Linked DNA regions of Callithrix jacchus. The protein of the gene in region 3 binds, or shares a complex with, the protein of the main gene of each other region. Links are inferred from orthologs where the notes say so. Each region holds a gene or a part of one and is shown on either strand. Other genes may lie near its edges. The genes, in order: PIGO, PIGG and PIGF.

Region 1 (4,433 bases), on a different chromosome or scaffold from region 3:
TATTGAAATAGTCACACATCAGGTTGGGCATGGTGGCTCACACCTATAATCCCAACACTTTGGGAGGCCGAGTCTGGAGGATTGCTTGAGCCCAGGAGTTCAAGATAGAATTCATACATCATACAATTATTTCATTTAAAATATAAATGTAGTAACTTTTAGTATATTCACAGAATTGTGCAACCACCACAAGTTTACAACTGTTTCAGATCCCCCCTCCACAATATTCCATTGTATAAATACACCATTTTTTTGTTTATCAATTTGTCAGTAATGGATATTTGGGCTTCCACATTTTGGCTGTTAGGAATAAGGCTATTTTATTTATTTATTTATTTGAGACAGGGTCTTACTCTGTCACCCAGGCTGGAGTGCAATGGTGAGATCACAGCTCACTGCAGCCTTGACCTCCCCAGGCTCAGGTAGTCTTCTCACCTTAGCCTCCTGAGTAGCTAGTACTACAGGCACATGCCACCACACCGGGGTAAATTTTGTGCTGGGATTACAGGTGTGATCCATTTCACCCAGCCATGAATAAGGCTACTATTAACATTCATGTACAAGTTTTTGTTTGGACATAAATATTAATTCCTCTTGGGTTTATACCTAGGGCTGAAATTGCTGGGTCATTTGATAATTATGTTAATAGTTTTGAATTATCTGTTTTTACAGTCCCACCAGCGGCCTATGAGGATTCTAATTTCTCCTCCTCATTGCCAACACTTGTTGACTACAGCCATCCTCATGTGTTCGAAGCAGTATCTCCAGCATTTCCTGATGGCTTCTTTCCATGTGTCTATTGGCTATTTTTATATCTTCTTTGTCCATTAATTTGATTTAATTTGATAATTTGTTTTTTTCCCCTCTTTGACTCTGTTTTTTTTTTTGAGACAAGATCTTGCTTTGTCGCCCAGGCTGCAGTGCAGTGGTTCAATCTCGGGTCACTGCAGCCTCTGATTCCCAGGGTCAACTGATTCTCCTGCCTCAGCCTCCCAAGTAGCTGGAATCTCAGGCGCCCGCTATCACGCCCAGCTAATTTTTGTATTTTCAGTAGAGACGCGGTTTCGCCATGTTGGCCAGTCTGGTCTCCAACTCCTGACCTTAGGTGATCCACCCACCTCGGCCTCCCAAAGTGCTGGGATTACAGGTGTGAGCCACCACGCCTGGCCGGCCTCCCCTCCTCTATTCCGAAGGATTATTTGCTTAATTATTCAGTTGTAAGATTCAGTTAGAGGCTTTGAGAGGAGGATTATTGAAATCTCAGTTGGACTCAGCTAAGCAAAAAGGGGAAAATAAGTATTATTTATCTCTACTTTACAGATGAGGTAATGCCTAATAATGACAATATGTGCGGCCGAGCTAGGATTCAAGTTAAGTTTGACTCCAGCAGCCATGCTCTTAGTCGTAACCATGAACGGACAGTGGTTTCCTGAACTGTTCCTCCAGCTTGGTCCCTCATCCCCAGTTCTCAATTACTAAATCTCCCATCAGACTCTGGCCAGCCCCACGCTCCTGGCCAAACTTCCACTGAGGTGCCGGCAGATGGCGATGGAGCCACCGGCGGGCCGCTCTGTCTGACGCGCGCACCTCTGTGGTGCCAGGCCGCAGGCGCTGCCACCGTCGCACTTCCGGGTGCCGTTGCAGGTGAGCCAGGGTCTCCCGAGAACCTCACCCCCCGTATTCCCCTCACCCTGAAATAAGGGAGTCTACCCTTTCCCCTCAGCTCCCAACCAAGGGTGCTCAGTACCGCAGCTAGGGTGCCCAGCGGGAGGCTGGGTAGCTACCAGAGGAGGCAGAGCTGGTTGGACGCCTGGGTCCCAGCGAGGCCCAACCGGCTCTTGACCCGCGCCCCTGCCTCGCTGCGTGGCGAAGATCGTGCCTCAGTTCTCCAAGCGAACCTGGCTGCCCGGAAGCGGGGCGTGACTCCTCCCCTTCGTCCCCTCGGTCCCCGCTAGGCGGCGCCGTCGGCTGGGCCCGGTTTCCCCTGAGGCTTGGATCCCTTTCCACCCTTGTGGGTATTGAGATTGGCGAGGGGAGAGGCGCAGAAACGGCCTGTAAGGAGCCTGGCTACCAATTGAAATAAGTTTCCCTCGTGACTGTGTGTTTTCAGCATTAGGATTTCCTGACTGTATATGTGAACATTCCTATGCTCCACCCCTCAAAGATCCTGATTCAGTAGATCTGGGGTGGGAACTGGAAATAGGTTTTATTTTGTTTTGAGACGGCGTCTTGCTCTGTTGTCCTGGCTGGAATGCAGTGGCGCCATCTCGGCTCACTGCAACATCTGCATCTCGGGTTCAAGCAGTTCTCCTGCCTCAGCCTCCTGAGTAGCTGGGACTACAGGTGCACACCACCACACCCAGCTAATTTTCGTATTTTTAGTAAGGACAGGGCTTCACCACGTTGGCCAGGCTGGTCTTGAACTCCTGACCTCAGGTGATCCACCCACCTCGGCCTCCCAAAGTGCTGGGATTACAGCCTGGAAATAGCAGGAGAGGAATACTGTGATGGGTTGGCTATGGGACGGTTTATCTCCAGGAAGGTTTACAGGAGGAAGTGATTCTAGCTGGGCTTGTATTCAGGAACCAGAATATCCACTGGTTATTTGCCCCATGGTAACGAATTTCCTTCCCCACCCCTATTAGGATGCAGAAAGCCTCAGTGCTGCTCTTCCTGGCCTGGGTCTGCTTCCTCTTCTACACCGGCATTACCCTCTTCACCAGTGGCTTCCTGCTCACCCGTTTGGAGCTCACCAACCATAGCAGCTGCCAAGAGCCTCCAGGCCCTGGGTCCCTGCCACCGGGGAGCCAAGGGAAACCTGGGGCCTGCTGGATGGCTTCCCGATTTTCACGGGTTGTGTTGGTGCTAATAGATGCTCTGCGATTTGACTTCGCCCAGCCCCAGCACTCACATGCACCTGGAGAGCCTCCTGTCTCCCTACCCTTCCTGGGCAAATTAAGCTCCTTGAAGAGGATCCTGGAGATTCAGCCCCACCATGCCCGGCTCTACCGATCTCAGGTTGACCCGCCTACCACCACCATGCAGCGCCTCAAGGCCCTCACCACTGGCTCACTGCCTACCTTTATTGATGCTGGTAGTAACTTCGCCAGCCACGCCATAGTGGAAGACAATCTCATTAAGCAGCTCACCAGTGCAGGTCAGTGTGGGCCACTTTGAAGGCCAGAAGTACGTTGTCAAATTTCCTCAGACCTTTGGATGCCCAGATGCACACTTGACTATGGTGTAGGGAGACAGAGGAGAAGAAGGAGGCCAGAGCCCTGCCTTTAGGGACCTCAGTTTGGGGGACAGAGGAGAAGGGATCTGGGCTTTGTTCTTTTTTTTTTTTTTTTGAGACGGAGTTTCGCTCTTGTTACCCAGGCTGGAGTCCAATGGCACGATCTCGGCTCACCGCAACCTCCGCCTCCTGGGATCAGGCAATTCTCCTGCCTCAGCCTCCTGAGTAGCTGGGATTACAGGCATGCGCTACCATGCCCAGCTAATTTTTTGTACTTTTAGTAGAGACAGGGTTTCACTTGTTGACCAGGATGGTCTCGATCTATTGACCTCATGATCCACCCACCTTGTCCTCCCAAAGTGCTGGGATTACAGGCTTGAGCCACCGCGCCCGGCCTATTCTTAAGAAGTTTCTCATCTGAATGGAGTGCAAGTTTTACTCTTGGAGACCTCTCAGTAAAAGGGAGAAGGGAAGAGAAGAGAAAAGATGTGGATCTTGGCTTGCAAGTGTGGAGAAGAAAGCAGAGAGATCCAGGCCCTCTTTACTCACTGACTTGTAAAAGGCAGGATACACCCAGGTAAAACAAATCTGTAGAGACACCCAGAGACATAACTAGCAGAGCGTTTTGTAGGAAAGATAAGTATGAGGTCTGTGTGTAGTATGGTTATCAGGGAAAGCTTCCTGGTGGAAAATGTTAGGCCCTGAAGGATAAGGATTGCTGTATGCAATTGCTGTGCTTTACGTTGCATGGTTGGGACTTCTGATGGGTCTTTAAATGGCCTCTTTTCCTCTTTTCTCCTGACCCTGACTCTTGTTCAGGCTCTGACCTCTCTTTCATGTCACTGCAGGAAGGCGTGTAGTCTTTATGGGAGATGATACCTGGAAAGACCTTTTCCCTGGAGCTTTCTCCAAAGCTTTCTTCTTCCCATCCTTCAATGTCAGAGACCTTGACACAGTGGACAATGGCATCCTGGAACACCTCTACCCCACCAGTGAGCATGAGGCCAGAACATTAGTTCTAAGACTGGGAGCTGGGGAAAACTGCTTTAGTCCACAAATTCTGAGCCTCCCATGTGTGTAACAGCCTGGGCTTGTATTCCTGGACATAGAGGAGTGTCAAAGGCTGGCTGGGGTTGAGGAGTGGGTCTTAGTCCTCTGTGCTCAGTGTTCTCTCCTTCATAGTGGACAGTGGTGAATG
Region 2 (3,649 bases), on a different chromosome or scaffold from region 3:
ATGGGAAACGTTGAGAAGTCTGTTAGACTGAAGTCAAGGTGGTGCCGGGTCAAAGCCACAGCTTCCCATGTGCTGTCTGGGTAGGACGGGGCATACCCCAGATGCCCGTTTTTGCTTCCCAAGAGAGGGCAGTCACAGCCTTGGGACCCATGGGCTGTTTAGCCACAAAGCTTCCTGCTGAATGTTTGCCTTCCTGGGTGTTGCTGTCACCAGCGCGTGTCGAGGGCGCCTTGGGGTCCCCCTCCCTGTGGGGTCCCCGGCCTGTAGAGCTGGATACCAAGTGGTGACCAGTGGTATAGGTTCAGGGGACCCACCTAAGGAGCCTCAGTCTGGCAAGGAAAGCAGTGAAAGGAAACAGGCACTGGGGCCCCCACAGGGAGATCCTAGGCCTGTGTATTGGATTGGAACACGAGGCAGGCTGAGGGAAGGAGTGGCCCACTGAGGCCTGAGATGAGGAGCCGGTGAGGGGCTGCGGTGAGGCCATGGAGGGGGCAACCCGAGCTGCTCACCAGGGGGAGCATGAGGTTCCGGGCACCTGGACAGCCCTGTCCTTGGCCCTTTCCTGAGTAGTGAGCACTGAAGCAGGAGCCGTTTACAGGACGCCCTCAGGTAGCACCTGGTGGAGCTGCCAGGTTGACAGGACTGAGGAGCCTTTCACAGGACACGCAGTGGGGCCCACACACCCAGGCACACACACCTGCTGCCCTGCCTTAGAGCTTTTCCCACCCTAAGAGGAGCCCCTCGCTGCTTACCTCCTGTGTGAGGCTCTCACGGCATGAATGCCTCTGAACTGTCCACCGTGGTGGAAGCCCTCACGCCCCGCCCACATTGGACTATAGCCGCGCCGTAAGCATCTCTGCACACCGGCATGCTTGCAGGAGGGCCTGCGCCGTGAGCGGTGGAAGCCTTGCTTAGGGAGACCAGGCAGCAGCGAAGTGGGATGCAGAGAGACCGCAGGCAGATCCGCTCCACACTCACTGCAGCCTTTGAGAGGAGGCATCAAAGGCAGAACTTAGACCAGGATCCTGGAAGGCCTGGCTTCTGAGGGTCTGGGGGCCGCCCCACGGGCCCTTTCTAACAGGACTTGATCAGAGGCCATGGATGGGGCATGGAAATGGCCCAAATAGTGGAATTTATAATTTTGAAGTCATCACAGACTCATGAGAAGTCGCTTTGAGGAAGATATTTACGTGATGTATTGTGGACTGAAAAGCAGGGCAGTACATTGACATACTTCAGGGGGAGGCTCCTGTTCCGAGAATGCTGCCTTTCCCTGTGGATTTGCTCAGCAGATGCTGCTGGGCCAGGTTCCCTAGCCCAGCCTGGGCTGACTGACATGGCGCCCGCTGGACAGCAGAGCTCGTATTTTTGTTTATTTGTATCTTGCCCTTTTGTGATTTTCTATTCGTTGTTTATATTTTATAATGCATGTGATATAGTAGCACATAGATATATAATTTTAAAATAACTGCAAAGTCTAGGGGTGCGTTTTTCAGAGATGCTTTACGGACAACAGTGGCACTGCCAAGCAGTCGGGGCTGCAGCTCGTGTCCCCTTGGACGCTGCGGTGGATGGATACACAGACCTTTGCCCACCTCCAGGACCAGCCACATCCAGATTTCCGTGGGGAGGGGCTCCAGAGTGGCACTTCTAGCACACACCATAGGTGGTTTTTGCTTACAGTCAAGTTTTAGAAGCATTTCTGGAGAGCTCCACGTGTGTGTGTAGGACATGGTGGCCCTCACCCATCCTTCTGTTTAGTCTGCTTTATTTTTCTTGATGAGTTTGTCTCTTCCTGCCGTGTTACCTGTTTGCTCCTGCCTCCTTTACTGGAATGCAGCCTCCAAGGGGACAGCACAGGTTTTCTCGTCTCCAGGGCATCTGGAGAGGCACGTGTCCCAGCACCATAGTGACTGGATGTAAGTGTGGAAGACGGAGCACGGCGCCCTCTCGTCCCAGGGCAGGAACTACTGTAGTCTTTTTGAAAGCGAAAGTTTTGTTATACATGTGAACCGTAAGTGGCATGTGCTAATACATGTTTTCTTTCTCATTACCAGCAGCTCAGCACTGAGTCATGCTTGCTTCTGCTACGCGATGATTTGCTCTATTCCAGTTTCCACATATATCGTCTTGGTGACGTCTCTGCGCTATCATTTATTCATATGGAGTGTATTTTCTCCAAAGCTTCTCTATGAGGGGATGCATCTGCTCATTACAGCTGCTGTCTGTGTATTCTTCACAGCAATGGATCAAACCAGACTCACACAGTCTTAGACTAAGCTGAACACTGGAAAAATAATACATGCTTAAAGTCTGCTGTTATTCTAAGATGGAAGATGTGAATTCAACCAAGTTGATGAATAGCTGTAACTTCTTTGACTACTGTACCTGAATTTAGATTAAGTAGTAAATAGTTTAATAAGAGGTCACTTTAATACACAGTTTGTGTCATATTTCCCCTATTGGGAATCACTCAAAAAGCTTTTGGACTTTTAATTTCCTCTGAATAAGCTATAGTATGACCCAGATAGGTGTGTTTAAGTCAATGAATGAAAACGTCCTGGCCTTTGTTAGAGTCCAGGCGCTCTGGAAGGAGGCACCAGGATTATCTTAGGGATCCTACAAACCACTGAGGGCCCCAAGGAGCTTTGGTTTATGAGGGTTACACGTATCAGTGTCTATGGCATTTGAGATAAAAACTAAGATTTTAAAAATTAGTCATTTATAAAGAATCTATTGCATATTATTTTGTAACACTTTAAGGAAATTTAACTGTATTTTCCAAAACAAAAAAATTCAGTGAGACCCAGCACTTTGGGAGGCCAGAGTCAGGGGATCACTTCAGCCCAGGTGATTGAGATTGGCCTGGGCAACATAATGAGACCCTCAGATCTCCAAAAACTTCAAAAATTAGCTGGGCCTGATGGCACACCCCTGTGGTCCCAGCTACTCAGGTAGCTGAGAAAAGAGGATTGCTTCAGCCCAGAAGTTCACAGCTGTGGTGAGCCATGACTGAGCCATGATTGTACCAGTGCACTCCATCCTAGACAACAGAGTGAGACTCTGTCTTTAAAAAAAGAAACAAAAAACAAATGTGTAATGAGAAAAATGGTACTGTTGTACATGTTTGCAAACCTCTTAATGTCTGGCTTAATTGAAGGCAGCTGGATTCTGTGTTTGACCTGATGTGATATGTGTTAAAATACAAGAAGAAAATCGGCCAGGTACAGTGGCCGACACCTGTAATCCCAGCACTTTGGGAGGCTGAGGCAGGCGGATCACCTGAGGTCAGAAGTTCAAGACCAGCCTGACCAACATGGCGAAAACCTATCTCTACAAAAATACAAAAATTAGCTGAGCATGATGGTGGGTGCCTGTAATCCCTTCTGCTTGGGAGGCTGAGGCAGAATAATTGCTTGAACCAGGAGGCATAGGTTGCAGTGAGCGGAGACTGTGCCATTGTACTCCAGCCTGGGTGACAGAGTGAGACTCCCTCTCAAAATAAATTAATTAATTTAAAAAAATATGTATATATGAAGAAAATCTGTCTTCAGACAGATCAGTAGTTGGAAAGAGGAGAAATATTTTAATGTCCTTTTTCTGATCATTGTGGATTTTTTTTTCTTTTTTTTGAGACGGAGTTTTGCTC
Region 3 (3,649 bases):
ATGTGTCTTGGGGTTGCTCTTCTTGAGGAATATCTTTGTGGTGTTCTCTGTATTACCTGGAGTTGAGTATTGTCCTGCCTTGCTAGGTTGGGAAAGTTTTCCTGAATAATATCCTGAAGAGTATTTTCCAGCTTGAATTAATTCTCTTCGTCACATTCAGGTACACCTATCAAATGTAGATTAGGTCTCTTCACATAGTCCCACATTTCTTGGAGACTTTGCTCATTCCTTTTTAGCCTTTTCCCTCTAATCTTGTCTTCTCGTTTTATTTCATTAAGTTGGTCTTCGACCTCTAACATCCTTTCTTCTGCTTGATCAATTCGACTGTTAAAATTTGTGCATACTTCGCAAAGTTCTCATATTGTGTTTTCCAGCTCTATTAATTCACTTATATTCCTCTCTAAATTGTCTATTCTTGTTAGCATTTCATCAAACCTTTTCTCAAGGTTCTTAGTTTCTTTGCATTGGGTTAGAACATGTTCTTTTAGCTCACAGAAGTTTCTTATTATCCACCTTCTGAAGCCTGATTCTGACAATTCATCACACTCATTCTCCATCAGGCCTTGTTCCACTGCTCATGAGGAGCTGCAATCCCCTGTAGGAGGAGAGATATTCTGATTTCAGGTCTTTTCAGCCTTTTTGCACTGGTTTCTTCCCATCTTTGTGGATTTACCCACTTGTAGTCTTTGTAATTGCTGACTTTCAAATTGGGTCTCTGAGTGGATGTCCAGCTTGCTGGTGAAGAAGTTTTTTCTGTTTCTTAGTTTTCCTTTGGCGGACGCCCCTTCCCCACAGAGCTGGACCTTCCTGGGTTCAGCTGTGCTTGCTGTGAAACTCAATCTTCAGCGCTTCCAACTGTTGCTTTTTGTGGGGGTGGAACCAGCCGAGCTCAATCACCTGGCTCCCTGTCTCAGAGCCTCTTCTTTTTTTTTTTTTTTTTTTAAGTAGAACAATCGACTCTCTCCCAGGTGTTCCAGTTGCCCGCTGTAAAGCCGCCGGAATCTGTGTAATTTCCCCTGCAGCAACCCATTGCACCGGCTGAAACAGCAGCGTTGAGATTCGTGGCACTTTCCTGCCCAGGATCTCCCGGTCTGGCTCCCCACTTCAGTCCCTGTTTCAATCAGCTGAATGGGTGATTTCAATCAGCTGAATGGAGCCCCAAACACCAACTAAAGGGGCACCCAGTCCCATATACTCCGTACTGAGAACAGCCGCACCGGCCACAAGAGTTGCACTGGTGACCCGTGGGGTCCTCCGCTGGGAATCTCCTGGTCCGTGGGCAACAAAAATTCGTCTGGAAGTGTGGCATCCACTCACTCTCTGCGCTTTCACTGGGAGCTACAATCCTGAGCTGCTGCTGATTGGCCATCTTGGATCTCTCCGAAGTAGATTTCAATCTATTTCACTGTTTAAAAATTTCAAACTAAAAGTTTAAAAGAAATTAATTTTCATTTGGGAAATTATGGTAACAATGTAGAAAATGCTTTCAGTTGTTAAACTTTTGTTTTCTACAGACTTTATGAATATTAGAAGATCTTTCCAAGAGAGAACAAACAGTACTAATTCCTTTTTTTCCTTTTTGAGACAAAGTCTCACTATGTAGACCAGGCTGGAGTACAGTGGTGTGATCTCGGCTTACTGCAACCTCTGCCTCCCAGGTTCACAAGCAATTCTCTCACCTCTAAGTTCCTACAGCACTTATTGCTGAATTTACACAATTGTAATCTATATTATTTGTTCATTTCATTTTTATCCCTTGAATATATAAGCTCCTCAGCAAAAGAATCCTCCTTATACTTCAGAATCCACACAGCTTAGCATAACACAGAGCACAGAGTAAGTGCTGAAAACGTTTTTGCTGCTGGGTGATAAATAGGACAGAATCAAATAACCTTCTGGCTTTCTTAGCTAGAGCTTCACTGTTTCTCGTGCATATCATTTCAATGACTTTCAAGAAACTTAAGTTTTAACTTAACCATGCTGAAAACATATACAGACCTACCAAGGAAATGAAATCCCATAAAACTTGCTCTCTCTTACCATGAAAAAGGCTAAACAAGAAATTATCATTGTTACACATTTTTAGATTGTGGACCCCACTTCTACATTATAAAATGTAGGTAAGAAATTTTATTCGCAGCAATTTTATCACAGTGCCAAATTATCCCAGAACCACAGTTTTCAAAGCTTTCTTTTGGTAGCAGAAATTAAAAAAAATATATATTTTTAACAAAAAAACAAACAAAAGGCTAAGTGGAATTCTACTATACAGAAAAAAGCAGAGCCGATCTTGTTAACCTGGCGGGAGGGGCTCCTCGTTCTGCCTGCCCTGTCCCCAGTCCAACTGCAGTGACCCCTTAAGGTAACTCTGAGCACCATCAGCACTGAGAAACACTGAAAATAATCAGCAAACTGACAAATAAATAAATACTTCATTAATTTTTTTTAATTTCAAATATTATTATAATATAAAATTAAAACTTACCCATTTCTACTGAAAACTCTTAGCCATGCTTTGAGATTTGGTCCTAACAAACATAAGCAAGGTACGGTAGTAAAAGTAGACAAAATAACTGCAAATAAAAATGTTTCCAATGCCAACCTAGAAAAAAAAAAGATGTGTTAATTTTTTAAGTGTTAATGGTAAACATACACATACATAATCTTTATTATATAAATAAAATTTAAAATATCTTCTTATGCTTTACCTTTGAAATGTAACATGAGTGCCACCAAAATGATGACTATAAATAATTTTACTACCAACATGCAGCTTTAAAAAACTATTTAGCAAATGTTTGACCTTAATCATAGATTTCAGAAGTGTTAAAGACCCTAGGATCCATGCTGAGACTTCCATTGCAAAAACAAACAAAATCCATTTCTAGACAGTTGGCTTTCTCCTCAATAGTCTCTGGAACTTTCTCTACAACTAGTGGTTCTGTGTTAACATATATTGGAACCAGCTGGAGAGCTGGATAAACTAAAGATCAAGGGGCTCTACCCCTAGAATTTCTGACTGAAGGCTTGAGTATTTGCATTTTGATAAAATGCTGATGCTGCTGGCTTGCAAACCACATTTTGAGAATTACTGTGCCAGATACATTCATCCTACTTTAAAATGGATTAGACAGAAACCACCCTTTTCCATTACAAAGTTCTTGTTCTCTCCCATCTAAAACACAATGACCTGTTAGTTTAATGTGTATATGTAAAACTATGTATAAATATATATATAAAACTTAGCAACACATATATGTGTATATATGTATATATATCTCATCACTCATTTCACCATGATCATTAATCACTGCTAAACTGAAGCTTCTCAAACTATGATAAACATTATGTAAGAATCATTCATGAATTTGGTTTCTACTAATTTGAAATTAGTTCAGAAAAAGTGTTAAATTTTACCTTTAAACTATAAATACTGGCATATTAAGTATTTGAATACAGGAATCTATTGACTTTTGTTAAGAAAAACTCCATTCAAGTACTTCAGAATCACATGTATAAGAACTTGATATGCTAATTATAACTAATCTACACATATGATCATAATAAGTTCTCTCAGAGGTTCTAAGGGCCAAATATTATTGGTACAATATAGTTTCTCATCTACTCTCCCTTCTCCCAACATGCAATT

The links.
Region 1: PIGF (region 3) and PIGO share a complex: the UniProt entries of both Homo sapiens proteins name them as parts of the ethanolamine phosphate transferase 3 complex. The link is inferred for Callithrix jacchus from reciprocal best matches to the Homo sapiens genes PIGF and PIGO.
Region 2: PIGF (region 3) and PIGG share a complex: the UniProt entries of both Homo sapiens proteins name them as parts of the ethanolamine phosphate transferase 2 complex. The link is inferred for Callithrix jacchus from reciprocal best matches to the Homo sapiens genes PIGF and PIGG.

The regions. Positions count from the first base shown.
Region 1 is NC_133502.1:141,974,356-141,978,788, reverse strand, and holds the start of PIGO (GPI ethanolamine phosphate transferase 3, catalytic subunit), read left to right. Parts: upstream 1-1,596; 5' UTR 1,597-2,054; intron 2,055-2,645; 5' UTR 2,646-2,646; coding exon 2,647-3,157; intron 3,158-3,378; exon of another isoform or gene 3,379-3,812; intron 3,813-4,083; coding exon 4,084-4,227; intron 4,228-4,417; coding exon 4,418-4,433.
Region 2 is NC_133504.1:192,704,547-192,708,195, reverse strand, and holds part of PIGG (GPI ethanolamine phosphate transferase 2, catalytic subunit), read left to right. Parts: intron 1-2,057; coding exon 2,058-2,274; 3' UTR 2,275-3,649.
Region 3 is NC_133515.1:68,138,307-68,141,955, reverse strand, and holds part of PIGF (GPI ethanolamine phosphate transferase, stabilizing subunit), read right to left. Parts: intron 2,603-3,649; coding exon 2,486-2,602; intron 1-2,485.